Danio rerio: one gene and its partners. The protein of the gene in region 7 purifies or fractionates together with the protein of the main gene of each other region. This does not show direct contact. Links are inferred from orthologs where the notes say so. Each region holds a gene or a part of one and is shown on either strand. Other genes may lie near its edges.

Evidence for each region.
Region 1: the proteins of cdk19 (region 7) and med24 purify together in Homo sapiens (affinity purification with mass spectrometry; 6 studies listed by BioGRID and IntAct, counting the BioPlex papers as one, with this or other methods). This does not show direct contact. The link is inferred for Danio rerio from reciprocal best matches to the Homo sapiens genes CDK19 and MED24.
Region 2: the proteins of cdk19 (region 7) and med16 purify together in Homo sapiens (affinity purification with mass spectrometry; 6 studies listed by BioGRID and IntAct, counting the BioPlex papers as one, with this or other methods). This does not show direct contact. The link is inferred for Danio rerio from reciprocal best matches to the Homo sapiens genes CDK19 and MED16.
Region 3: the proteins of cdk19 (region 7) and med20 purify together in Homo sapiens (affinity purification with mass spectrometry; 5 studies listed by BioGRID and IntAct, counting the BioPlex papers as one, with this or other methods). This does not show direct contact. The link is inferred for Danio rerio from reciprocal best matches to the Homo sapiens genes CDK19 and MED20.
Region 4: the proteins of cdk19 (region 7) and med23 purify together in Homo sapiens (affinity purification with mass spectrometry; 5 studies listed by BioGRID and IntAct, counting the BioPlex papers as one, with this or other methods). This does not show direct contact. The link is inferred for Danio rerio from reciprocal best matches to the Homo sapiens genes CDK19 and MED23.
Region 5: the proteins of cdk19 (region 7) and med1 purify together in Homo sapiens (affinity purification with mass spectrometry; 7 studies listed by BioGRID and IntAct, counting the BioPlex papers as one, with this or other methods). This does not show direct contact. The link is inferred for Danio rerio from reciprocal best matches to the Homo sapiens genes CDK19 and MED1.
Region 6: the proteins of cdk19 (region 7) and med31 purify together in Homo sapiens (affinity purification with mass spectrometry; 6 studies listed by BioGRID and IntAct, counting the BioPlex papers as one, with this or other methods). This does not show direct contact. The link is inferred for Danio rerio from reciprocal best matches to the Homo sapiens genes CDK19 and MED31.

What each region holds. Positions count from the first base shown.
Region 1 is NC_133187.1:11,225,630-11,229,604, forward strand, and holds the start of med24 (mediator of RNA polymerase II transcription subunit 24), read right to left. Parts: upstream 2,808-3,975; 5' UTR 2,723-2,807; intron 2,528-2,722; 5' UTR 2,510-2,527; coding exon 2,380-2,509; intron 552-2,379; coding exon 469-551; intron 239-468; coding exon 200-238; intron 114-199; coding exon 40-113; intron 1-39. UniProt on the Homo sapiens protein: Component of the Mediator complex, a coactivator involved in the regulated transcription of nearly all RNA polymerase II-dependent genes.
Region 2 is NC_133186.1:14,600,308-14,604,494, forward strand, and holds the start of med16 (mediator of RNA polymerase II transcription subunit 16), read left to right. Parts: upstream 1-1,385; 5' UTR 1,386-1,667; coding exon 1,668-1,809; coding exon of another isoform or gene 1,810-1,851; intron 1,852-1,988; coding exon 1,989-2,096; intron 2,097-4,187. UniProt on the Homo sapiens protein: Component of the Mediator complex, a coactivator involved in the regulated transcription of nearly all RNA polymerase II-dependent genes.
Region 3 is NC_133197.1:573,957-578,131, reverse strand, and holds the start of med20 (mediator of RNA polymerase II transcription subunit 20), read right to left. Parts: upstream 2,803-4,175; 5' UTR 2,577-2,802; coding exon 2,563-2,576; intron 1,234-2,562; exon of another isoform or gene 1,075-1,233; intron 87-1,074; coding exon 1-86. UniProt on the Homo sapiens protein: Component of the Mediator complex, a coactivator involved in the regulated transcription of nearly all RNA polymerase II-dependent genes.
Region 4 is NC_133195.1:2,669,486-2,673,721, forward strand, and holds the start of med23 (mediator of RNA polymerase II transcription subunit 23), read right to left. Parts: upstream 2,809-4,236; 5' UTR 2,664-2,808; coding exon 2,613-2,663; exon of another isoform or gene 2,606-2,612; coding exon of another isoform or gene 2,534-2,605; intron 1,848-2,533; coding exon 1,816-1,847; intron 699-1,815; coding exon 611-698; intron 1-610. UniProt on the Homo sapiens protein: Required for transcriptional activation subsequent to the assembly of the pre-initiation complex. Component of the Mediator complex, a coactivator involved in the regulated transcription of nearly all RNA polymerase II-dependent genes.
Region 5 is NC_133187.1:16,852,306-16,856,491, reverse strand, and holds the start of med1 (mediator of RNA polymerase II transcription subunit 1), read right to left. Parts: upstream 2,807-4,186; 5' UTR 2,646-2,806; coding exon 2,537-2,645; intron 1-2,536. UniProt on the Homo sapiens protein: Component of the Mediator complex, a coactivator involved in the regulated transcription of nearly all RNA polymerase II-dependent genes.
Region 6 is NC_133196.1:43,308,449-43,312,490, forward strand, and holds the start of med31 (mediator of RNA polymerase II transcription subunit 31), read right to left. Parts: upstream 2,803-4,042; 5' UTR 2,663-2,802; coding exon 2,641-2,662; intron 2,145-2,640; coding exon 2,070-2,144; intron 1,885-2,069; coding exon 1,788-1,884; intron 1-1,787. UniProt on the Homo sapiens protein: Component of the Mediator complex, a coactivator involved in the regulated transcription of nearly all RNA polymerase II-dependent genes.
Region 7 is NC_133195.1:3,039,685-3,043,708, forward strand, and holds the start of cdk19 (cyclin-dependent kinase 19), read right to left. Parts: upstream 2,807-4,024; 5' UTR 2,679-2,806; coding exon 2,551-2,678; intron 1-2,550. Other genes in the region: amd1 (S-adenosylmethionine decarboxylase proenzyme), read left to right, coding at 3,892-4,001.

The DNA of each region.
Region 1 (3,975 bases), on a different chromosome or scaffold from region 7:
ACTGTTGGTGGACAGATGTGATCAACTGACAGACGGTACCTTAGTCGGTTGGAGAACATGTCCATAATCTCAAGCAATGATTTGACACATAGCTCCCGTGAAAAATCATCAAACTGTGGATGAGCAAATAAAAATATTTTACATAAATAGCGCCTATTAAAAAATACAAATAATAATAAATATAAAAAAATACACCAACCTTGCTGATTGCCGTTAACACACTAGAATACGACACCATCTACAGGTTTGAGAGAAAATATGTTATAGAAAAATGTTGTTTTTTGTGGAAGCTGTCATCTTGAATTTATACTGCCACCTAGTGGTGCACATGCAGTAGCACACAAACATTATTTTTGTTGGCAAATATGGAAATTAATAAAGAGGTATTCTACTCATTAAATTCAGCTGCCATAATGCAGCTCTTGCTATATGAAAAAAAAAGGCTACGGGTATGACTTGTGTGTTTACCTGTGAACTGATGGCATACTTCAGATAGGACAGGATCAGGGGGTTGGGAGATGGGCCAATCATAGCCTGCTCCAGAAGAGCTTCTGTATTGAGGAAAGAGTAATTACACCTTTACAACTATACAGCTATTACACAGCACTTTCAACGATACTCTCAAAAGGGGAGGTTTGCACCCCTGTTGTGGACGAAAAAAGGACAATTATTTTAAAAATAAATAATTAAAATATCATGCAACCATTTACTGAACGTATCCATTTACAAAATTGTGAATTTAGGACATTTTTAATCAAAGGTTTGGAATATTAAAGATTGTGTGTTTTTTAAAAGAAGTCTTTTATGCACACTAAGGCAGTTTTTTAAAGAGTCATATAACAATATTATATTCAGTGGTGTAAAGTAACAAATTATAAATACTCAAATGACTGTAACTGAGTAGTTCTTCACAAGAATTGTAATTTACTAAGCAGTTTTAAAGATGTGTGCTTTTTACTTTCCTTTGAGTACATTTTTAGTGCAGTATCAGTACTTTTACTCCACTATTTTCCTTTAACCTACAGTCACTACTTTATTTGTTCCTTCTCTATGGGTATTGGCTAAAATAACTAATAATAGTTTTGCATCATATTGAACAACCTCAGGAAATGTTTGGAAAGTGTCCAAGAAGATGCCTAAACTCTTTACACGGAATGACTGTTTAGACTGCATGTCACTGATAAGAAGATGGCAGATGTTTACTGTATGATGACTGAAATCGACAAATGAATAGCTCAGATGCAAAAACCTGTAAATGTTCTCTGAAATGTTCTCCTAAAATAAGCATTTTTGTCAGCCTCCTATGTTTATGTTCAGTTATTTCACTTGAAAGGCAATGAAAAGAACTTATTCGTCACCATAGAAGTAAAATGACTGAGCCTACAGAAAGGAGAAAAATGCTAATTTTAGAAGAAAATATCAAATAACTTTTAGAGGTTTTTGCATCTGAAGTCTTCAAATAGTCTTAAACAATTGACTAAATGCACTATAGAATGTTACGTTTACACACACCTGCACAAATTGCATTCACACTGTAATACTCACTACTCGGGTACTTTTTACTCATACTTTGAGTTATATTTACAACAGATATTTTTACTCTACTTGCACTACATTTTGGGCAAGTAATGGTACTTTTACTTGAGTATCTTTTTTCTGTACTCTTTTCACCACTGATTAGATTACAGCAATTAACAGAAAATGTTTTCATTTACATTTTACAAATGTAAACTTTTGCTGTAATTAATTTTCGGCTGCCATTATTCCAGTCTTTAGTGTCACATGATCCTTCAGAAATCTTTTTGGTGTTTATTTTTAGGCTATCTATTTATATCTATATCTAATTGTACTATCAACTGTAAATTTTTGTTTGCTTTTACTTTTATTTTTCATTTTACTCTAAACTACTTTAAGACCATCTACCATGGTTCCCACAGAAAATGTGAAACAGCAAAAACAAAAATAAATTTAAGCATCGATGACTATGTTACAATAATTTATTTAGAATCATGTGACCCTGAACAGTTATTTACAAAACAACTCTCTCACAGGAATAACAAAGAATTCGGCTTTTGTTTTTATAAATAAAACCAGCAAACAGTTCTTGCAAGTTGCAATATTTTGCATTGCTGTATTCAGATTAAATACATGGAGCCTTATACAAAAAAAGAAAGAAAGAAAGAAAGAAAGAAAGAAAGAAAGAAAGAAAGAAAGAAAGAAAGAAAGAAAGAAAGAAAGAAAGAAAGAAGTAGACTCTTTTAAAAACAAACCACTGGCATGTACAATAGCGGACAAAATGGAGTGAAGGCGCTCAGACGGCAGTTAAAGAAAGGCTGTATATAGTCACACTAGTCATTTGTAAGGTGACGTAAATATGACCTGCTAGATTGAGATAATCCCATGTAGCTCCTTTGGGACAGTTCTTCTTAATGTTAATGGCCCACTGATAATCACTCCAACGTTCCTTCCACGCCTGTAGGATGGCCTGTTTCAGATTCACCACCTTCATATTGGCAGATCCTTAAGACTGTAGACAGTATAATAAGTATTTGTAATGTACAAATCACATCCCAGTGTATGACAGGAGAACGTCACATCTCAGCTGTAACGTTACTAATTTCTCATAAAACAAACATATTTCGCGTATAAAATGCACAAATCAAATGGACAAATAATATAGAAGGCCAATTTATGATTTGCTATTTTTAAAAATATCACTTACCACAAAATATTTCAAAATTTGTAATAAATGAATCAGGTTTTTGTTCATTTACAATTCTCTGCACTCCGAGCCGCCATGTTGGTCTGCAAGATCACGTCCTTTGATTGGCTGAGAGTATCTGTTTGTTGAAGTAAAGGTCAATGCGATTGGGTGGTGTGATGTCGCGTCCTCTGATTCGCCGATAGATTGTAGCGAACTTTTGATTCGGGAATATGAGTAACACTGGAAATGAAAGTACAATGTAACAGTTTTCACTATCACATAACAGCAATAGTACGTTAATGTAATGTGTTTACCATACTTTTATTTCATGGAAATAGCTGAAAACCCTTGAGCAAGGCATCAAAAATATTATTAGGCTATGATTTGTAGGGCTGTATTGCAGAATTGACTTAGAATTGCCTTTTTGAATTAGAAAAATAAATTTATGGTTTATCAGTTTTAAACAACAGATGTCTTACCAGTTTAATACGGTTTTGACAGAAAGAAGTGACATACAAAGCTTGCGGTTAGCTTCAGATTCAGTTTGATAATGATTCTCAGCATGGTCTGAGAAGAAATAATTGGTGGAAAATTATGGAGATCAAACAAAAACCTACAGTTAAATACCACAGTTTATGTAAAATAACTATGATGAATACATATTATATAAGGTAAAATTAAGCACAAAATCAACAATTTGTCATAATTTGGAATATTTCATTACATATCACCTGCTTATGCACTCAAACTGTACAAAAACTATTATTAGATTAAGAATTTTTGTCTTACTTTGTTCTCTCCTGCGTGCCTGATTTGTTGGAATGTTCACTATCTGAAATATTTTATTCATCTATCTATCTATCTATCTATCTATCTATCTATCTATCTATCTATCTATCTATCTATCTATCTATCTATCTATCTATCTATCTATCTATCTATCTATCTATCTATCTATCTATCTATCTATCTATCTATCTATCTATCTATCTATCTATCTATCTATCTATCTATCTATCTATCTATCTATCTATCTATCTATCTATCTATCTACCTACCTACCTACCTACCTACCTACCTACCTACCTACCTACCTACCTACCAATAGCTTCAACCAAACTTTTCCTGTAGTTGCAGATCAGACTTGCACAACTTGTCTGAAGAGATTTTGGATCATTCCTCTTTACAAAACTGTTCAGTTCAGCAATATTCTTGAGATGTCTGGTGTGAATCGCTCTCTTGAGGTCATGCCACAGCATCTCAATCAGGTT
Region 2 (4,187 bases), on a different chromosome or scaffold from region 7:
CTGTTAGCTGTAAATATTGCCATGTTTTCATTTGATGTGCGTATTATGGAAATAATAATAAGCAAAACAATCTAAATTTGAATTGTGTTAATTTGAATTAGACAATTGTAATTTAATAAATCTGAATTTTTATATGCCGTTAAAAATTGTTTTGAATTTCTTAGTTTGAATTTTCTAACTTGAATATTGAAATGTAAGACAACTGAATTTTTCAAGGCGGAATTTTTTATAGACATATTCTCAAACGTTTGATTTTTTGTGTTAAAATATTACAGTAGGCTATTTTTTGACTGAAATGCATTGAAATCAAAATGTCCAATGGGTGGCGCTAAATCTCTCTTTGTCACTGAATTGTTCATTCACATTCGTTATTTAGACCATATATATATATATATATATATATATATATATATATATATATATATATATATATATATATATATATATATATAGATATATATATATATATATATATATATATATATATATATATATATATATATATATATATATATATATATATATATATATATATATTTCCAGCCCTGAATTTCACAATCTGAATTTCTGGTTTTGAATTTTATGATATTGATTTGGATGTTCTAAATTTCTTCATCTTGAAAATTTGAAACTGTATTTTCACAAACTTAATATCTACAGTCTATGAACTCAGAACACAAACAAATCAGGCTTGAAAAGTTCTTGCATTTCAGATGTTCAATACTCAAGTTATGAAATTCAAATTCAAATGAAGAAAATCAAATTTAAAAGATTTTTAATGTCATAAAAAAATCTGATTTTTAAAATTAAAATTGTTAATAATTCAAATGAATACAATTCAAATTGTGATTGTTTTGGCACATTATTAGCTCTGTACGTCAAACCCTTTCTGAGACACACACACACACACACACACGCACGCACGCACGCACGCACGCACGCACACACACACACACACACATACACACACACACACACACAGAGAGAGAGACTTAAAAGGTTAACTTAAACATATAAATTAAATTATAAAAATGTATAAACAAAAATAAAACGTTTATATAAAAAAAGAGAAAAATAATATATAAATAGCGTACATACATACATACATACATACATACATAGATACATACATACATACATACATACATACATACATACATACATACATACATACATACATACATACATACATACATACATAAAAGCATAGGAACAAAAAAGCCTTTTGTTAATAAATAATGCATAACCATGCATGAGTAAACATTTTTGTTAACGCTTTTATGCTTCAAAAGTAACGTAGATAGACAAATACAGAAATAGATCGGAGCTCCAGCCCAATAGGGGGTGGTAAGTATTAGATGAGTCTTTGAATCCGGAAAGAGTCGACGAATACAGGCGCTCAATGATGTGATGTGCAGCTTCAAAGTGCTATTTGCTGAATTAGAATAGATTTGAAACGCCAGAACAATTTATATTATTAACAAATTAATTTATGTTCGGACTTATTAGCAGGAGCATGTAGTTTTGAGTCTGCCATACCCATCATTTTCTTCTGTTTCTGTACAGTAGCGGTGTTTGCTTTTGTTGTCTCCCGTAGTGATTGTGAACACATTCAAAGGTGTTCATTTGGGGCATCTGTGCTGTAAACAGTAAGTTTCCTTCATTATATGATGGATATCGCATATGTTTGCGAGTGGGAGAAGAGACCCAAGAGCAACCACTGTCCTTCAATCCCTCTGGTGTGCGCCTGGTCATGTAGAAACCTCATCGCTTTCACCACTGACCTGAAGAATGAGGAGGATGACAAAGGTCTGGACAATGCCTTTATTACCAATATTACCACTCCTGTTGGTGAGTTATGAATGGAGGACAAGAAACAACATACATTTTCAATTCGTTTTGGATCCAAAATACATAGAACAATGGTGTTTATTTATGATCAAGCATTATATCAGCAACAACAATCATGTTTTTTTTTTCTGTTGCAGATCTCAGTCATATGATACACATCATTGACACTGATCACCCCTGGGATGTGTACTCCATCAATTCTGGTCACAATGAGATAATTTCCTGCCTAGAATGGGATCAGTCTGGTCAGTCATCATGATGATAAAGATGAAATGGGCTAAACATTTGGCAATATGTGCAGATCATATTTGACAAGTTTTTTTTAGAAGTAAAGTTTCCATTTATTTTAGGTGGGTAGTCTCAGTATTGTAAGGGTAAGCCTAATTTTACTCGATTAATGTACTGCGATGGTCTTAAATCAGTACAGATTAGATACAGAATAATAAAATCTAATATAATATTTATTTTTATTATAGATTTTTTGTAATAATATAATTATTTTATAATTGACATTTGAATCATTTTAGAGTGTTAAAAACATTTGAAGAGAGACGCGTTTCAATGTAAAACCTAAATACTTTTCCAAATCAGGGTTTTTACCATTATCAAATACTAAAACTATTTAAAAAATCTGATAATAAAGAAAAAACTTGTATTAAATGAAAATTACAAATGTTGCTTTAGCAAGTAACAGAACAGAAAAAATATATATAATTTATTAAAATAAAAGTAAATCAAAAAGGCAAATAAAAAAATTATACTTTATATTATAACAAATGAAAACAGTAGTGCAAATAATACAATTGCTAAATTTAATATGAAGCAAAAAAGCCAAATCAAAGTATGAAGAAAAATAATAATAAAAAAGGTATATTCATTTTTATTTAATATTCATAAAACATTTATTAATTAAGTTGTTTATAAAATCAGTTTTAGGGATACTCCTAATAACTGATTAACCCGTTAACTTAAAGCAGGGGTGCCCAAACTCAGTTCTGGAGAGCCGGTGTCCTGCAGATTTTAGTAGGGATGGCTGACGTGAAACTGACGTTTCGACACAGTTTCGAGATCCCGAAGCACAAGTGTTTCGAAACACTGCACCGAAGCATGATCCGAAACACCCAATTCACGTGACTAAAGTGTTTCAAAACACCTGGACACGTGACTAAAATGATTCAAAGCAACAATCAGTTAAGAAGTGTTTCGAGACCTTGCGAATCTGGATGTAACTGCCGGCGTCAGTTTCAAAATCTGTCTCATATGGCCTGGTGGACTGTGCCTGTACACGCTGTTTTTATACTTCCAATGACTTTTGGGTTTGAATCCCGACTTGTACAAATACACCTAAATCATGGTTTTATGTATTTTAATCATGTTTCTGTTTTATGGTGTAGCCTAAATAGATTAAAGCTGAGGATACGCCATCAATATAGCATCATTTTTGTAACACTAAAACAATAATAAATATTTTTACAGTACTGTGATGGTTGGGTTTAGGGTTTGGATAGACGTTAATGAAATACAATAAATGGGAAATTTAATAAATAATATAAATAATTCTTGATACCTTCTGGCCACAACTGTGTCTGATCTAGCAACAACTCTGTTTTAATACCAAAACAAGACATATTTATTTACAAAGTGTTTATTCGGATGTCAGACCAATGTTGAAACAAAACGAAACAAGAACAAAGCATTACCAACTGGTATTAAAGCATTTCAAAAAAGCCGTATCAGCCTGGATTCAAACTCAATATCCCCACATGGAAGTCAGAAACCTTAACCGCTCCACTAAATCTCTTGAATAGATACTTTTACAAAGTGGGGTGTAATACCTCAATTTGCTAAAATGTTCTTGCTGAAGCTGTTTCAGTGCAATACATAAAAATGACCACTAGGTGGTCACCGTAGAGTGGGGTTTCAAAACATTTCGAAGCTTCGACACATTTGCTTCGACTGTTTGTTTCAGTGTTTCATGAAGCCTCGCTTTGCCCACCACTAGATTTTAGCTCCAACTTGCCTCAACACACCTGCATAGATGTTTATAGAAAGCCTTTAAAAAGCTTGATTAGATAGCCCAGGTGTGTCTGATTGGGTTGGAACTAAACTTTGCAGGACACCGGCCCTCCAGGATAGAGTTTGGGCATCCCTGTCTTAAAAGGTGCATTTTAATCTATTATTGGTATCAGTTAAATGATTAAAAATGTATTGTTTTTATTTTATTTAAGTTTGGCTGCATAAATGTGCAACACATATTTGCTTATTCGTGAGACAGTAACATGTGCAACTACATGTGCCCACAGACATATTTTGCCAAAAAAGCAAAATGAAAGAAG
Region 3 (4,175 bases), on a different chromosome or scaffold from region 7:
CGGCTCCCAGCTGCTCCAGCTTCCTGTGGAGAAGATCCACCGTCTGCTGGACGCTCTTACCCTCGGCCACTGGCACCTGACAAACACTGACACAAACACACACACATTTGAGACGTTTAATTTATTTACAATTAAAAACAGTTTCAAAATGGTAGTTTACTAAAGCAAGATCATTCTGATCAGTGTAAACATCAATAAAAATAAATAATAAAAATAATTGTGCGAGTCTGTGTGTGCATATGTGTAATGTCTGTCTATCTAGCTATATAGATAGATTGATATACTTGAGTAATTCACCTATGAAAACCAAACCCCAGGGGTCCGTTCTTCGTACATGCATTACTCAGTTATTATATAACGGATTTGGTTATTGACGATTTGACATGTTCCAGGATCGTTACGCTCTTCAAAACTCATCTGAGAGCTGTTGTCCTATCAATAGTTCTGGTAGCTCAAACCTGCTGGGGAGCAGCAGCTTGTTTCATATAAACAGGATAAGATCGGTTCAGTTCAAGCAAAGATAATACTGAAACTATGTAACGAATTCTGATCTTTTATTACAGTAGTTATATAGTTATATACACTTGGGAAAATAGTAAATATATTTTTTAACTATATATATATATATATAAGTTAAAATATATATAAATAAAACTTATGCAATCTGCACTCCGAAATAAAAGTACAAATACTGCCACCTGGTGGATCAAAGAGAAAATTAATGCAACCTTTTTTTATAAAGGAATAATACATTCATGCAGGTATTCGGTAATATGACTGGGATTTAATGCCTTCAAAAAAGTTGCAGACATCTTTACCAATAGTAAAATGCTTTTGTGATGCAAAATTAATTTAAACATCCTGTTAATCTTTATACCAATTAAGAAACCGGCTACTATAATACTAATATGGCGACTGTAATAAGGAAAATCTGCTCTAACAATAAAATAAATTGCTGAATACTCTTGACACATGAATGTGTAAAAAAGCCTGCAGCTCACAACAAACATGGGAAGTTATTGTGTGTCATATTTAACAAACCGTTTACTAAGAATTTTAAATAATTTTGCTCACATGGAGAATTGAATATTGATCAGATGATGTCATTGCGCTGCTGTGCCGTCAGCCAATCGCTGCATTGCTGATCATGATTTTGGGGATGGATAAATCTGCCCTTCACAACACACGCTGATCTCAGATGTGCATCCAGACATTTTAATCTAATTCACGAACCTGTTTGAGGAACCAAATTAGCCAGAGATCAGTTATCAAGATGAACAGATCAAGGATCTGCCAAATCATCAAGATCATTTAAGCAACGTACGGACCCCAGCTCAGCATTTCTGTTTGTTGTCAAAACTGACAGCTGGAGGGGCGTGGTTATGAATGTTAGCCCCGCCCATTGCCTAAAACCAATAGTATCTGGATGCAGCCTTTGTGATGCAAGCTGAGATTGCATCTCTTAGTGATGCAATGTCGGACACAATTGAGCTAGTGAGGTCACTTTGAGGGGTGGGGTTAGGTGAGCACATTAAAGCTGCAGTCACACTAGAGCTTGCGTGTGCGAAAGTCCGCCGTACGGCGCTGCGAAAAGGGGCGGGATTAAACAAGATGATTAGGCATTAATAAAGCGAGTGATTGCTGCATGTGTTTCATTTCTGTCCAGAGAGCTCATGTTGATCCTCGATTGGTCTCCCGCAGTCAAGTGATGTGATTTCGCAGGTCCGACTTCACCAAGGTTGAACTTTGCACTGAAGTGACCTGCGAAACTTGACGCATGACCCTGCGTTTCCAGTCTGACGCATTCGCGTGTATGAATGAAGTCTATGGTGAGAAAAGCCCAGTGTAAGCACAGCTTAAAGTATTGGATGCAGCTCAGATTGCATCTGCACCAGGTCTGCAGCCAGACCCCTCTCTCAAAAACACACCATCTGATAATTTAACTGAAAACAAACAGGAAGAGCATTTTCAGATTTCAATTAAAGATTAGAAGGGCAAACTATTACATTTTCTCAATAATATGCACAGATGAATTATTCACCACAGAACTAGCACTGTGAGCTAACAACAACAACAAGGCTAGTTTTCATTTCATGGGCACTTTAATAAATTTTAAGACCCCGCGGACTCCCTGAACACTACTTAAATGAGTGCTTGTAAACTACAAAACTTGTTAAATGTTTTTTTATATGTTTGCAGTAAATGAAGCTGATAATCTTACACTTTTTTTTATACAAAACTTCGGGAAAACCTCGTCAAATATCCTTATATTTCATCTTAAATGTTAGTTTGAATGAACACGTGCACCTGATAATAATAACAGGCCTTCATTGTGTTCTACACAACACTAATAACAGTTTTGTAAAGTACTTTTAAGAGTGACATGTGATGTAAACATGTATAAAGCAATAAATAGACTGATGAATGAGGAGCAAAAGCCTCTCTGTGCATTCAAACAGCGCTGAACGGGAGCATCAGGAGCACCAGAGAGACTCAAAACAAGCACAACTGAAAATATTAATTATTTGAGGACAATACTTTATAAACAAAAGTGTTTCTCACCACGTTACACCCATTTCTTCGAGACAAACTTCCGCAAGCCGGGGTATTTACTTCCGGATCACTCGAGTTTGCGTGAAACACGCGAAATCAGTAAAAGTAAAACACTTAAATTCGATAAAATAAAAATATTAACAATCATTAAATTCATGTAATATAAAAACATTAGCCGCGCTAAAAATGAACAGAGCCGAGATCTGCCGAGCCTCGAGCGGAAGTAAACAGTGTGACGCAGCGCCGCTCTGGGATCAGTAGTTCTGCGCGCTCCAAAACAGCGCTCATCTCTCCAACTGCTCTCAGAGCAGCACTACAGACATATATCTATGTATACACACACACTCTCAGCGCCATTGCTCTCAGACCCACGTGTGTGCAGCTCTCCGCGGCGCGTCATGTGTTCAGACGCGATTTCACACTCATAATTCCTCAGACAGACAGGCAGATAATACTAATATTGATAACCGTCATCATGCCGAAGGTGAAGAAGGCCTGGAGCGGCGGCGCGGTGCCCCTGGCCGAGCAGATCCTCCAGCGGGACTCAGTGCGCTGCAGCGGCCGGCAGAAGCAGCGCGGCCGCGGGCAGGAGGAGCAGCAGGAGTTCGTGGATGAGAAGCTGAGCCGGAGGATCCTGGAGCAGGCCCGCAGACAGCAGGAGGAGCTGCAGGACACAGCCGAGGAGGAGCGCAGGACACCGGCGACCAGACTGGGTGAATGCTGCACTCACTGACTCTCTCTCTGTCTGTGTCTGTCCTGTTTTACCAACTGTCTGTCTGTCTCTCATCTGACTGACTGTGTGTCTGTCTCTCTGTCTGTTTATTTGTGTATCTATATGTCTGTCTATCAAACTATCCGTCAATCTGTCTGTCTGTTCCTCCATCTTTCTATCCATCTGTCTATGCCTCCATCTGTCTCCGTTCGTCTGTTTCTGTCTATCCATCTTTCTGTCCATCTGTCTATCTCTCTGTCTGTCCTTCCATCTTTGTCGGTTTGTCTATCCCTTCCTCTGTCTTCATCCGTCTGTCCATCTGTCTATCAATTTTTCTGTTTGTCTGGTCTGTCAAATCCTGTGTCTGTCCATCACTTCATCTCTCTCTTTCTAGCCATCTGTCTATCCATCTTTCTGTCCTTCTGTCTATCCCTTCATCTGTCTATCCCTCTGTCTATCCATCTTTCTGTCCTTCTGTCTATCCCTTCATCTGTCTATCCCTCTGTCTATCCATCTTTCTGTTCGTCTGTCTATCCCTCCATCTGTATATCCATTTTTGTGTCCGTCTATCCCTCCATCTGTTTATTTCTCTATTTTTCTGTCTTTTTGCCCATCTGTCTATCCCTCCATTTGTCTGTCCATCTGTCTAACCCTCTGTTTGTCTATCCCTCCATCTGTCTGTCTTTCTATCCCTCTGTCTATCAATCTTTCTGTCCTCCTTCTTTCTATCTCTCTGTCTGTCTTTCCATTTTTGTCGGTTTGTCTATCCCTTCCTCTGTCTTCATCCGTCTGTCCATCTTTCTGTCTATCTTTCCATCTTTGTCCATTTTTCTATCAATTTTTCTGTTCGTCTGGTCTGTCTAATCCTGTGTTTGTCCATCCCTTCATCTCTCTCTTTCTAGCCATCTGT
Region 4 (4,236 bases), about 370 kb from region 7:
ATTATGTGAAATCTTGCAACACTTATACTTCTTTTATAAAGCAGCTTTATGCAATATTGTGATACACAAAGCAAACATGGACCCTTGTGAAGCTGTTTTCCAAAGGGAGATTTAACAAACAACACCTTGAAAAATATGTACATGAAATAATGCAAACATAAGTAAACAAATGCTAAATGCAGGATCAAAAAATTGCAACCTTAGTTTTTTTTAGCTCATTTTATCAAAACTCTTTTGTTTTTACCAATAATGTTGGTCACTATAAACACTTTGGGCTCTATCCTAATGATCTAGGCACAAAGTCTAAAGCGCAGGGCACAAAAGCATTAAGGGCGTGTCCGAATGTCTGTCTATCTATTTATCCGTGGGTGTGCGTGTGTGTTTGTGCAACAGAATGTGTGTGTGTGTGTGTGTGTGTGTGCGCGTTCATATGGGTATGCGTGTGTGTGTGTGAGTGCAAGTGTGTGCATATGAGCAACTGTGAGCAAGTCTGTGTGTGTGTGCACGCGAGATTAAAAGTGTGCATATGAACAAGTGTATGAGAGATTCTGAGTGTGTGAGTGGGTGCATGTGTGAGTGTGTGTGTGTGTGTGTGTGTGTTGATTCTGACCTGCGGCAGGGTACTCCAGAACTGCCTAAAGGCTCCTAAACAGCTTGTGAGTTTGGTCTTCTCATCCTCAGGGCTGTCCATGAACATGCTGCGCACACACACACACATATGCATAATTTAGGTATCCATTATCACTTATAAGTGTGCATTTTAGGGCTGCACAATATCTCGCAAAAGTATCGTTCTCCTGATGATTATATATTTAATATACAAATCATAGACGTGTCATAAATTACATTTATATGATGCATTGGTTGTTTATGTAAATTTGACCAATCAGATGGGGCCTTACTATCTTTAGTCCCGCCTCCCCAGTAGTTGTTGTTCTGCTATTGGCTAAAAGCTGAACCCAGAGCTAAAACTGAATACTAGTGGGTGGAGTAGAGTCAAGAGAGGAAAGTAACAACAGCCTGTCAGGTGATCTTCGCAGGTTTCCACTTCTTCATTGGGCTCTTTTTTAATGATCTAGGTGCAAAGTCTAAAGCTCATGGCACAAAAGCATTAAGGGCATGTCTGAATCCACTTACGCACTGCGCCGCGGCGCACAGTCTAACAAGGTTAAGCTTATTCTCTTAATGAGTTCTGAGTGTGTTTTGAGCATAACGTGTAATAAACCTATCAGAGTCTCTTCTCTCATTCCCTTTAAGAGTCAGTTGCGTCGTGTTATGGTGGATTTGCTATTTACATGGCGGACTTTGTAAGAGGAAAAACTGAACACTACACTAGCGAGAAAACAGTTAAACAGAGCATCTGCAGCGAGAGGATAAAGAACGAGCCTCCTCCATTCGGCCTCTTTACTTTCTCTTTACTTTTACTCCTTTACTTTGGTGGAGGAATCTCACTCCACTGAACACATCCATTAGCCCACTACATCCATTAGCCCACTACATTTAGTCTGTTTAGCACAAAGATGTGTTTCAAAACTATTTCTAAATTCAGTTCTAATCTCCAGCAAAGGAATAAATGAACAATAATAACCAAGTGTGGTCAGAAAACCAGTTATATCAAGCACACGTACTGTTCTTATGCCCCATATGGTGATGCAGACGTCTCCAAAACCACACAGATTGACACGTCTACACTAGTTTTTATTACACAAATATAAATATGCAGATAATAAATAATAATTAATATTTAACATTCCAGTATCGTGCAGCCCTTGTGCGTTTTCGCTCTATAATATGGTGTTTTATTAGTCTACTCACCCAGCAAACGCCTCCTCGATCACCTCCGTTTTCTGACGTAAACAAAACAGTTGAAAGTTAAAATGTGTACATTAGTCTGACATCAGTTAGCCGTTATACATGAGACTGTGCTGTGTACAGCTTAGCTAGTGAGGTAAAGTTATTTTATATTCACACATTCGCTCAGTGAGAACTTCTGACATGCTCCCTGTGTTGTTTACCATGGTGATTTGAATATTCGGTCTGAAATAGCTTGCAAGTATGACCTGAAAACAACATTAGCACTATTTAATTGACTGTGAACAGCGTTGTGCTTTGATAGTCATTGGCTGCCAATATGATTTCGCTATTTAAAGTTTGCAAATTATACTTTTCGGAAATAATATATATATTTTTTAAAAGTCCAAATGTGCGAATATAAAATCAACTTTACCCTAATGGTGCGGTTATCACTTTGAGATTGAGAAATTTAGGTAAATTTGGTTTTATATTCGGACATTCAGACTTTCTCCTTAATAATATAATTTTAGAAAAGTATTATTTGTAAACTCTAAATAGTGAAATCATATTAGCAGCCAATAACTATCAAAGTACAACACTGTTCACAGTCAATTAAATAGTGCTAATGTTGTTTTAAGTCATTTAAATCTGATTTCAGACCCTATATTCAAATTAACACAGTAGATAATATATAGGGAATGTTAAATGAAGGAATGTGCGAATATAAAACCAACTTTACCTCAATGATTGAGATGTGACTGCTGCTGTTGTTGTTACTGTGATGAATGGATGAGAAGTGTGTGTGCTGCATCACCCACCACTACATCCTCAAAGATGCTCTGCAGCTGAGTCTCCATCGGGACCGCCATCACGAGCACACACCTTCACGCACACTCATACGTCCATGTCTGAAATGAAAGTGTGCGCTGTAGTTTTTAATTAACGCTGAATGAGGCTCTGATGAACACAACAGAAGAGCAGCGCCAGAACTGAAACACCAGAAGCTTGAGCGTCGCTGAAAACATTCCGGCAGGAACACACACTCACAACACCATGGTTCCGACATTGTCGAACAATCTGTTTAAAAGATTTTCTTGTCTTGCTCTCTGGCATGTGGTATATTGTAATTTAGTTACATGTGTTTATAATAATAATAATAATAATAATAATAATGTTTTCAGCCATCAGCCTTCCTGAATTTTTTGCCCCCTCCCCCCACTTTGAGGACTTTGCAAAGACACAGGACACATCTAAAAAAACTCCAGACAATATATTAACATGAGAGACATGCAAACTTTTCCATGATAGATATACATTTTCAATGACACATCTTATATTTAAACTTTGCGTCTCATATAATTGAACTACATGTATTGTATTTCAATACATCAATACATTATCGAAGACTAGTTTAGGGCTGAAATTGAATGTTTATTTAACAATATTAAGACCGTTTACACCAAGCAAGCACCATTTGTGTAGTTTTAGTTTTACTTTTTGCACTACGCCCATGTAACCAGCAGATGTCCTCAGTGTGCTGCGGTTAGTCTGTCTATCTAACCAATCAGTCAATCCGTTAAGTTAAAAGCAGAAGTTTACATACGCTGTATAAAAAGGCCCACAACCATTTCAGATGTTAATGTGACTAAAGTTTTTGTAGAATAGTATTTAAGGAAAAGCTCAAACACACTGCTTCCTTGAGTGACAACATGGGAAAATCAACAAGCCAGAATCAACAAGAAAGCCAGATTACAATTTGCTAAATTACACTGGGAAAAAGACTCATGTTTGGAGACATGTCCTGTGCTCTGATGGAGCTGAGATTGAACTGTTTGGCCATAATGACCAGTGTTACATTTGGAGGATAAAGGGGAAAGCTTACAAGCCTAGGAACACCATCCCAACTGTGAAGTATGGGGCGGCAGCATCATGTTGTGGGGCTGTTTTGCTGCAGGAGGGACTGGTCCACTTTACGGCATAGATGGCATCATGAAGAAAGAACATTATGTGGAAATACTGAAGCAACATCTCAGGGCATCAGCCAGGAAATTAAAACTTGGCCACAAATGGCTCTTCCAAACAGACCATGACCCTCAGCATCCTGCTAAATGAGTTCAAATGTGCTTTAAGGACAACAGAATGGATGTTTTGGAGTGGCCATCACAAAGCCCTGACCTCAATCCTATAGAAAATTTGTGGACAGAGTTAAAGCTTGTCTGCATCCGCTGCATAACACATATGCTGGAATAGTTGGCGGTTCATTCGGCTGTGGTGACCCCTGATAAATTAGAGACTAAGCTGAAGGAAAATGAACGAATGAACTGTACTTTTACTTAGATGTCTGTATTTCCCTCATTAAATCATATCTGAAATCGTTAAACTTTGTCACTGTCCTGCAAACCATTATTTATACATCTGACAGTGAGAATGAAAGACAATCGC
Region 5 (4,186 bases), on a different chromosome or scaffold from region 7:
ATAAATATTTTTTTAGCAGAAAACAGTTAATTGAAAAGTAAACTTTTCTTAGCAGACAGCGGGTAAACAAATTAATAAATAGCAGGAGCGATCGGATGCTAAACACTCAGCTGAAGTAACAGGCCTGCTGTATGTCTGGGTCTGTACGGGACACTTCTGGGTCTGGAGACAGACCTCGATAAGCCCTTTAGTGATCAACAAAAAATAAACAAAAAGATTAAGCATTTGTTATTATTATCTGTCTGAATTTACATTGAGTGTCTATTGAAACACTGACAGCAATGTGCTGTGTTTTGGTCTCACCTGCACTTTTGCTGAACTCTCAGAAACTCAAACACACAGACACGTCAGAAGACGTAATGTCAACAACAGACTTACAGATTTTTAAGAGGTGATTGAGACATGTCCTCCCATGTCCAGCGCATGTCATAGGTAAAGGCAGATTTTTTTTTGTTTTGTTGCAGTTGTTTTTAAACACTAAACTAATATTAAAAATGCATATTCTGAACTGCAGATCACAGGGCGCACTGAACCATGGGAGGACAACAGGACGGTACGATTTTTTAAAGAGAACCGTTGCATCCCTCCTGGATCCCGTACCGTAGTAGCTTTGCATGAAACGTCAGAGCTTAAACTAGCAAAGCTCCAAAACAGAAAAGAAAACTTTTCAATTTATGTATTTGAGATGTAAATACTTGTTACAGCAGAACAAAATTTGACTTCATACTGTCAAACAAACATAAATTGCATGTTTGCAAATATGACAAACAAGTCATGTACAAGAACTGAACAACTAGTCAGTAATCAGTGTTACCACCTCTCATATGTTTTGAATAATCTGTTAAAGGATGGCTCCTCCAAGTATTCCATCACTAACACTGCTCAACGTGGAGGGCATTGTCATCCATAAAAACAAAATCCGGCCACATTGCACCAGAATAAAGTTTGACAACTGGCCTCAGAATTTCATTCCTATACCTTGGGCTTGTCTGGTTGGATACTAACACTCCTGTTGCATCCTGTAGGTCAGGGGTAGGGAACCTATGGGTCAGGAGCCACATGTGGCTTTTTGACCAAAAATATGTAGCTTTCTCCAGCTGTCTTCTTTCAATAATATTTTAAAGTTTAAAAATCATAACTGTTATTAGAAACCAGTTTCATATTGAAAATACAATTATAATTCCCTTTATACTGTATTTTTTAAAGCAAAATAAGAACTCAGGTTACAATAAAAGGATGTTTCTAATGAGCATGTGTGGTGCTGTGGCTTAACTTGAATCGCAACACCAATTCATTCACAAGTGGCAATGGCATACTGATTTTTTTTTCATTCTATAAATTGTCCTTAAATAAGTAAAGATGTTGTTATATACACACACCCCCAATTGCTCTTTAAAAAATGTATTTGATAAATAAAAAACAAACAATGGCTCCTTGCTGAAAAAATGTTACAGACCCCTGCTGTAGGTCATTTTGCAGACTGATTGCAGACTGATTCCCTCGCAGGGAAAGGTATTGGTTATAATTTGGTGTTGTTACCCATTGTCTGCCTCCACCATGCATTCTACTCACTCCACCAATCCTTCTGAACATGTTCCAAGCTCTGAAAATTACACTTTGATATGTTCTCACTGGCTCTACAACTCCTGTGTCTGCCTCAGGCCTGCTTGCAGCTTCCCAATGTCCCGGTTGAGGTCAGAATTCTGTAGCCTACCTAAATTTGGCATTTCATGCGCTTCCTGACCTCAAGTAAAGCTTTCAGAGCTCTTCCCAATTACGGACATCCGTCAATTGGTACCTAATGACAAGCAATAATATCTGATGATCACCAAATGCCATTAACGATGACATTTCATTATTGACAACATTGTCTAATAACAGACTAATGTTTGCATGCATTTTTGCATTAAGAAATAACACATTTTCTGTTTTATAATAAATAAATAAAATTCATATGTAGGCTAATATTTAATAAACTGCATCATGCTTAACACGCATTAACAGACACCAGCCTTAATAAATAGATTTTTGTCTTAATCACCAAAACTTTCGGTTTTGGCTTAGTTTATAATAAAGACTATAGCACTCCTCCTATTCTTAACAAATAACTATGTTTCCTTTCCTCCATAAACGGACAGGCAAGTAAGTAAGTATTACATAAATGTATCATGTATTGGGCTGATATTTTTAAGTCATGGCAAAAAAGCATGGTAGAAATTTAAAAAAGTCCCAACCACCCTTTATTCATTCTAACTAAATAACCAAAAATGAACAGCAATCCCTTTATTTTTTCTGATTATGAGAAATTTAATTAATGTAACGTTACAATAAATATTTACTTTTCAACATTGATGCTAACCTTCGCCAAAACATCCCAAAAACACTCGAGATATCTGACGGACGACTCGGAAATCGTGCACAATCCGTAAAAGGGAAATCTATGGGTCATTTCTAAAAAATAATTAAAGCATTTTGTAGATTCTAGCTGACACAAATAAACTTTAAGTAAACAGGAAGTATGTGCTTGTAACGTTACCAGATCCATCCTCGGCTCGGGGACGCTCGGAGCCCGCGGCTGTGCCTCCCTGGGACGAGTCTGCGACCGGACTGCTGCTTTGCACCGCCGCCATCTTCCGAATTTGCATCCAACAGTGACCCGACAACGGTAAAGCAGAAAGAGCTAAAACATTATACTAAGACGCGGTCACAATAAAATCAGCCCTCGTTAAAATAGACCGCGAACAAAGCGCAATAACCAGGCGAAAATGCCTAACAACAGACTACTGGATCGAGAAACTGAAATGACGTCACGTGATCTTCTTCTTCGCTTTTTCCACAATGCATTTTGTCTATATATCGCCACCTGGCAATAGGCTGTACCCAAAGAGCTTAGATGCTCTTTGCTGTAGTGTAGCAGATAACATTCTTACTTTCCCATATGGAACATCCCGTTTGGTTATTTTTCGGGGAACGTTATCTGTAGTTTTTTTTGGCAACCAAAACCTAACCAAAATCTTCCCAGAACGTTCCCTTATTATTTATTATTATATTACATTTTCTGGAGATTATTTGTGGGTCTTATTTTCATAAACTAAAGAGAACCTTCCCATGATGTTCCCTTCAGGTTATTTGTGGGTTTTATTCTCATAATAACTTTTGATTGTATATTTTTCAATGCGACTGATAACATACACACACACAAACACTATGGTGTATATATTACATTTACATTTAGTCATTTAGCAGACGCTTTTATCCAAAGCGACTTACAAATGAGGACAAGGAAGCAACTTACACAACTATAAGAGCAACAATGAATAAGTGCTATAGGCAAGTTTCAGGTCTGTAAAGTCTAAGAAGGAAAGTATTAGTATTTTTTTTTTTTTGGGGTACAGTTAGTGTGATATCCAGAGAGGCAATTGCAGATTAGGAAGTGAAGTGGAGACTTCATATATATATATATATATATATATATATATATATATATATATATATATATATATATATATATATATATATATATATATATACATATACACACACACACACACACACACACACACAGACATTTATTATTTTTTTTTTTTATCAGTTTTTTTTTTATTTACAGGGGTTGGACAATGAAACTGAAACGCCTGGTTTTAGACCACAGTAATTCATGATGTAGGTCATTCTTTTGTGGTCAATACAGCATCAATTTATCTGGAAAATGACAGATACAAGTCTTGCACAGGATTTTGAGCCATTTTTTCTGCAAAAAAAGGTGAACAGGTCACAACGTGATGCTGGTGGAGTAAATACGTGGTAGTAATGTAAGTGCAACAGTTTTATTGTGACAATGTAACTAATTACATTGTGACAACTGAAACGTTGCAACAATAAAACTGTGACATTGCCAGTTATTAATCACAATGTTGTGACAACATTGTGTACTTCTACCAATATGAATTATTTAATTTGAATTATACAATTATTCAAATTTTATTTTATTGAATAAAAAATATACCACCCCTCCCTCTTCGTTGACCAATTAATTGATCTGTTGCTCGGTTACAGTCACATGTTCAAAATGGAGAGAAGAGTAAAGAGGCGTGGAGCGCAAAATAGAAAACAAGAAGAGAAAAAACAATGCCTTAAAATGAAAACTGCCATGACAAATTGGATAATAAGGAATTGGTAAGCTTAT
Region 6 (4,042 bases), on a different chromosome or scaffold from region 7:
AAGTTGTAGTGATGTTCTCTTTTCCCTGAAATCATATGAAATATTTCATTGATTTGATATTTTTAATAAAATATTGCATTGAATTATTTAGAATGCTTAAATCTTTTCTGTTCAGTATCACACAGCACTAATGGTAAGCGACCTACAATTTGGCACCATATTGTCTGTTTTTGCTTTATATTGACAAATAAAATAATATAACTTTATAGTTTAGGTTATGTAAACTGCAGATTTATGGAACAAAATCAAAGTATTGTTAAAAAAAACAAAAACAAAAAAAAAACGTATTGAATAGCACAAACTGAAACAAATAATATATTAAATTAACAACTGCTTGCATTTTAATGACTTGGATTGCCAGAGTTTGTAATTTTAGGTCTTGAAATTTAACACAGCTGTTTATTTAAGCTGTAAATATTTCAATTAAAAATTTTTCAAACACGTTTTTATACTTGAAAATTCTTATACTTATTTTATACTTAAAAATAATAATTCTTAATTTCCGGATTTCATGTATAATATTCAAAAGACAATTTTCAACTCACTTTATTTCAGTTCAAAAGTTCTCTTCCATTAATTTAGTGGATCAAATTCGGCTGTTAAAATTTAACAAGGACAATATTAAATGCTACTTTTGTGCTGTTATTAGCTTTTTCCCTTAAAAAGGGAGTTTTTAAACCTTTATTTAATGGTTTAAAAATCTTAAATTGGTCCACCTGCTAGTGAAAAAGCAGCTGGAGATTGCCAATCTGCAATCTATTGCTGTTCCTGCAGTTCCCGGAAGTAATGTCGAATTTTAAGAGCCAAATTTAAACCACTGAATTTTTGGAAGCAAAATTTTAAACTGAAAAGTAAACAAACTGAAAGTTAAATTTTGAACATTATGCTTCATATTTTTCACCAGTATTATATATTTAAAAATTGAACTTTTAATATATATATGAAATCTGGAAATTGAATATGAATTGTTGAAATTTTAAGTATAAAAACATGTTTAAAATATTTTTAGTTGAAATATTCACAGCTTAAATAAACAGCCGTGTTAAAATTCAGGCCCTAAAAATACAAACTCTTGCAATTCAAGTCATTAAAATGCAAGCAGTTGCTTATTCAATGCATTATTTTTTTTCAGTTAATGCTAATCAACAAACTTTTTATTTCAATACTTTTGCCATTAATTTTGTTCCATACAGATTAGGCACACATACTAAACTTGTAATTCAATTTACATTTTTAAATACAACTATATACAGCTAAATTATTAGACCACCTGTAAAATTCTTAATTCCTTTTCAAATATTTTCCCAAGTCATGTTTAGCAAAACAAATATTTATATTTCTATTCTAAACTATTACGTTTTAACTTATATAGAATGTCTCATTTCTTTATTCTGGTGGCATTAAAAGAATAAATTTCTTAAAACGTTACGGTCGATATTTTTCACCCCCTTAAGAACTTCTTATATTCGACTGTCTACAAAACAAACAACTGCTGTCAAATGACCAGCCTAATTGAGCTAGTCAATTTTTTAAACAGGACTTTAAGCTGAATAATAGTATTTTACAAAATAACTAGTAAACTAATAAATAATTAATAATACTAACTAATAAATAACTAATAATAAATAACTAATAAATATTATGCACTAGAACTACACGATATTGAACAAATTTTATATCCTTCTTTCTTTCTTTCTTTCATGCTTTTATTAGAAGCACTCATCATCCAAAGAAGAAATGTTTGACAAATTAACAATCTATTTCAACAAGAACAACATGTTACTTACTTTAGAAATTTAGCATATTCTGGTTCCTTCCAATAAAGCAGATACTTTAAATAATTGACGAAAGGCTTCTCTCTCAGGTAACCTCTCTGAGCCAGAACTGCAGGATGGGGGGAAAAAATTAAGATTAATAATCATTATCCATCTTCATATTTCGACCACAGTAACAAAATTACCTTGAATTTACAGAATGTAACAACCAATGAGTGAATTTGACCAATGACTAAAGTAATGACTGAATTTAGCGAACAGTAAAAAAGAAACAAGAGTTAACGTTGTTCTTACAGTTCAGGTAGTTTGGGTTTGCCAGACATTGAACAAACTCCAGCTCCAGCTGAAAGCGCTGTCTCGCCTGCTCGTCTGTCAAAGCACAAATAGAAGCGTAAGCAATGTTTGTGTTTGAAAAGAAATAATACAAATAATCATTAGTAAATGTATTCATGAACTACCAACGAACAATACTTGTATTAGTGCATAATTAAAATGCAAGTTCATGCTTGACATTAGTTGATGCACCGTAAGTTGAGATTACTTTATTTCATTAATACTTTTAACAAAGACGAACAAACACTGTAATAAATATAACGATTCTTGTTTGTTCATGTTAGCAAACATTGGCTAACGACGATACTACCTTAATGTTAAGTGTTACAGAAATTGCTTGAACAACATATATCTGCGCCAGTACAGAAAATAACACATAGTGTAGTACCTCTAAAACGTTGTATAACTTAATATGATCAAAACGAAACTAAAATACGTTACCAAACAATTGTATTTACGTTAACTGTCACATTGCTAGGAATCTCGTGGGCAAAGATGTGCTAAATAACAATTCAATCTAATTTTAACAAACCTGTTTCCATAACACCAGCCATTACGGACAACGAGAATTCAGACGACGCTGAAATATCTGGAAAATGATTAGTATAAAAAGATTTTTTAGAGCGCGATTACCAAAAACAACACATTACTCATTGTTTATGCGGACATAGACCGCTGACGCCATTTTTGCCATAAAACCAGTGCTGCTGTCGTAAAAGTGTTTCACGACATTTGCACCTTTTTTTTAAATAATAAAGAATGAAAACTTACAACCACAATCAGGAGATCAATATAAGAGAGATACAAAATAGGAACAATACAAACTACATTTGTAAGGGGTAAGTAAATTACACTTGTATAAAATTGTATAAAAATAAATTAATTAAGAGCTATTTAACTCAAATCAGAGTCAACAGTTCTTCATGTAGAGCCAAGTATCTGACACATTTTTTGTTGTTGTTACACGTACGCAAAGATTTGAGCAGGAGTCAACTTTAATGAGAAAATGTCGAAAAGTAGGGACTGAAACAATGCATATTTGTATAAAATATTTCCAAACAAGATAAAAAGTTGAAAACAAATTCTTCAGATTTATTCTGAGTAATAACAAACACTTTATTTTAAACTAAAATATTGTGCAAAGGTAGGAGGAGTGTTTAATAACGATAAAGGTCAAACCAAAATTTCTGAACAAATTCACACATACAAAATAATTGTATTAAAGTTTCATCATCCTCACCACAAAATGTACAACTACTCGGAATATCAAAATGTTTAGAAACAAATAAGTAAGCCGAATAAAGTTCAGGCAATATTTTAAAAAAGTATTTATGAGGCATTTGCACCTTTTTTTTTCGTAGTAATATTTGTAGCCTACAAAATACATTTTGTGACTTGGAATATAAGAAAAAAAAATCTATTTTCCATGATAATTTGGTTAAAAAGGTGTTCTATTGGTCTCACAGCTTAAAAGATGAAGGATATTTACTGACTTATAGGCTACTGAATTTTTTTGAGAAGTTTAGTTCCTGTGCCTCCACAAGGCCTGGCGGGGCTTTTGCAGAGTTACAGTGAACCAAATAAACTAACAGTTAAAAATGAGATTTAATTACATGGTGTTGATTTCAAAGATAGAAAATGTAATAATAAATTTTGTAGACGCTTGATTTATTATCTTGCCACTTTTAGACACAAATACTTTTGGAATAATCTGAGAATATCTATTGGAACTTGATCTGGACTTATAACAACAAGTATTGTGTCACTAATAAAGTGAAATTATACATAAAATATATCCAACCAACCAATTTCTCAAAAGATGATCAAAAGTTGATCTTTCTGAATTTGTGTTTATTTGCGGAGTGGATGTTGAGACTCTTATGCATTTGTTTGTTGATTGTATATATGTTAAATATTTCTGGCTTTATGTTGAA
Region 7 (4,024 bases):
TTCTCCCTGCCTTCGCGTGGGTTTCCTCCGGGTGCTCCGGTTTCCCCCACAGTCCAAAGACATGTGGTACAGGTGAATTGGGTAGGCTAAATTGTCCGTAGTGTATGAGTGTGTGTGTGTGGATGTTTTCCAGAGATGGGTTGCGGCTGGAAGGGCATCCGCTGCATAAAAACTTGCTGGATAAGTTGGTGGTTCATTCCACTGTGGCAACCCTGGATTAATAAAGGGACTAAGCCGACAAGAAAATGAATGAATAAATGATAAAAGACAAAGTCTGACGCTTTCCTGAAAAAAATGCTTGCTGCAAACAAACAGCGTTGCTGTATCGGCCCGGACAGGATCAGGGGGGAAAACATGCAACAAACCCTGTGGGTCATGGAAACAAACATATACGACCTGTGTCTCACCTCTGTCATTGGGTTTCCCAGCTTGGCAGTTACTATTAGCTAAGCGTAAATCATTAAATTAGGCCTTGTCCATTTCGCCTCTTGCTTTCGTGACCGTCACCTAGCAACGGCTGTAAACAAAACAGCAGCTCGATGACGCAAGCGTACCGGGGTTCAGAAGGAAAAAACAGTGTGAACACAAACCAGCTTAAGGCTGTTTATACTTCTGCATCAAGCGCACGCGTATGCTACAGCACAGCCTACGCGCTGACGCATAGCCCAACGCCGTGGCCATCGCTGACACGCACCTCTCAAAAAATGGAACTACACATCGCAACGACATGTAGCGCAAGCTCTGGGATTGGTTAGCTTGGAATCGCTGACAAGTGTGGGCGGGACCGAGAGCTGTGCGAGGCCGATGAAGCGATTGTTTACAAGTGTGGAGTCCCGTGATGGAGCTCCGGATGAAAGGTTTTGCTTTGTGTTTACCTTCCCTAGTAGCAAAGAATTCTGGCCCAGATTTGGCATAAAGCTGGCACAGCAGGCATTCATCCGGCACTGGCATACAGCATGTGGGCCAAACATGGCCCGGGTTTGGCAGAGGCGGCACACAAGATTTGGGCCAGATGAAAAACGTAGTATTTGGCCCAGATTTAAAAATTTGATAAGTGGGCCATGTGAGTTTGGCCAGTTTTGACCCACATTTAAAATACACTAAAATCATTTTTTAGTAAAGAAAATAAATTCTACCAATCAGGTCACTTTGAGAAAAAGCGTGCCCATAGTGTGCCTAAAGCGCATCACTCCATGGGTTTATCAATTTCATTGCAATCGTGACACACCAACCTATCTGGCCCAGTTCAGGCCCAGTTATGAGTTATTAACTTGGCTGAGACTTGGCCCAGATATGGTCCGTGTTTGGCCCTTGTCTGGAAGCCAGATTTGGTCCAGTCATGTACCGTAATTCACTGCGGCATGTGGGCCAAGCAAAACCTGATTGTGTGGGCCACAGCTGGGCCAGAGAAACTTTGCTATGTGGGTTATGATTAAAGTTGTTGCATGTCCGCCGGTTCCTGCCTCAAAATAAGCGAGTTTGAGCGTTCAGAAAAAACAAAACGCCAGCGAATAAACTCAACACAGAGGAACATTAACACCTCATTGCCGACAAGCTTTTCGGAAGTGTTATTGCAGAACATCAGAAATAGCGCGCAGAAGTATGAATGCACGGCTACGCGCGTTGCATGCGCCGTGGGTCACGCCGATCACTTGACGCAGAAGTATAAACCAGGCTGTACTCTCGTACTTATCAGGGGTTGCAGCAGCGGAATGAACCACCACAGAAAATAATATCACACAGATATTTAAAAAATTGGAGATGCGGTGGCGCAGTAGGTTGTGCTACTTACTGCATCGCCACCACATTTTCATCTTTTCACAAAGAAACTTTAGTCCTGTTTCGAATCTGCTGCTATGCTTTAAATTTAAAGTGACAGTAACCAAAACAGCATGATTTGGATCAAAGCCTAAAAGGGTCCATTTCAGAGAGATATAAAACATTATCTGTGTGGTATTTTGAGCTGAAACTTCACACACACACTCTAGAGACATAAGAGACTTATTTTACATCTTGTGTAAAGTGTCATAAGAGGACCCCTTTATTGAGCACACATTGACTCCTGTATAAATAAGAGCACACACACACACACACACACTGCAAGCACGTGAACTCGATCACAGATGCTCCATAAACTCCAGCACGCAAGAGCTTGTGCACTTATGAAGAAGTGGGCAGCTGTTATACTGCGTAAATGAGTATGTCAACTCGTGCACAGGTGAGCCTCTGAATTCCAGCACATGTAAACATGACATCTTCTCATCCGAGCACACAAACTCACAGTGGACTTCAAACGCATGCAACTTCTGGACAGAGGAACTGATTTGCAGTGAACTCCTGCACACAAGAGTGAAACATGCATCACGCTGGCTGGTTTGGGGGTGGACCGTTTGAAGTGCGTCCATGAAAACAAAAACAATCACACACACACACACGCAGGCTACAGAAAACAGCGCAATTCCCCCGACACATATGAAGCTCCTGCACACCCAGAGACAGCAGAAGCGCGTGCAGTGAGTGAAACGCGTCAATCAAACGCGTGTCTCTTACCCGTCTTTACGCTTCGCTTTATAAACATGCCCGTATGTGCCGCGACCCACTTTACAACCTTCATATTCAAACAGATCTTCCACTCTCTCCCTCTCGGCGGCGAGCTTCGTTTTGAAGTCGTAGTCCATTTTAACCCATAAATATTTCTTAATTTACAAGAAAATAAAATATTAATTATTACATGCATTAATTAAATGATCCGATCGTTTTTATTACCCCACCATTTCCTTGTTTGGGATTTTGGTCGGCTCCGCTTAACGGTCACGTGCTCGGTGACGTATTTTATTGTGGCGGGTTGCATTGTGGGGAGCGTAGTGCCGTTTGATGGAGCGCCAGCTCGAGTTGACGGCGGCAGGACATCTGAAAAACTACAGCGAACAAATCCTCCTTTCGTCTTTCCACTCTGATTCAAAACTAACATTTCTGAACGTTAGCGCTTGGAGTGTTTGCACAATGGCAGAAAAAAAGCTTATAATAACTAAACATAATTAATAAAATGTGTGGAATACATAACCTAACAGTTTTTTTCTTTTTCAAAGAGAGTGCTAGATAAATGGGAGTCAATTATTTGTGCAGTGGCTCAGCGTTATTCACCTTATTCTCAGCTGACGAGCGGGCGCTGCCATTTGAATCTTTTTGTCTCGCGACTTCCGGTCACATTCACTTCCATTCATTTTTTGACGTTAACAACTGCACGTTACGCTGCTTGATGTTGCAATTTAATATTTTCTTATTATATTATGCTACTTGGTCTGTGTAGTCATGCAAACATTTGTTTGTTGAGCAAGTAGTTTGGCCATTTTCTGTCGTTTATTATTCCTAGTCATTTCTCCCATAGGCGACTGAATCGGAAGTTCTAAGACAATCGCGAAAACAGGCGCACTTCCGCATTTTAGAATAAGGTCAATAGCAACGCAAATGTTTGCTCATCTATACAAGGACACACACTCACACACGCGCTACTACAGCGTGAACTCATACTTTTACGCAACATCCCGCTTGACTGATATCCGTTCAACCAATCGCTGTAGACCTGAGGGTGGCTCCCTCGCCGCGATTGGCAACGACGAGAATGACGTCGTCGGGTAGGTAATAAAAGCTCCGCGCAGACTGCCGTTCTGCGCTTACACAGTATGGCCGGCGATATTAGCTAGCACTCGCCTACGGTATTCTCTGTAAAAGGGAAGACGGTAAATACAAACAAAAAAATAAGGCAACTACATCTGGACTGCTCAAGGACTGTAACTAAGCTATTAAGTTATAACCGCCAACGAAGGACTACATAATTTGTGATTCCATCCGACGGTTTATTTTCTGTTGTTGGAGTCTGTTTGTCTCACGATGGAAGAGAGCAGTGCACACTTCTTCGAGGGGACCGAGAAGCTCCTGGAGGTGTGGTTCTCCCGGCAGGACGAAGCCAAAGGAACCGGGGATCTGCGCACAATCCCTAGGTGAGTGAGTCCGTCCGAGCCGC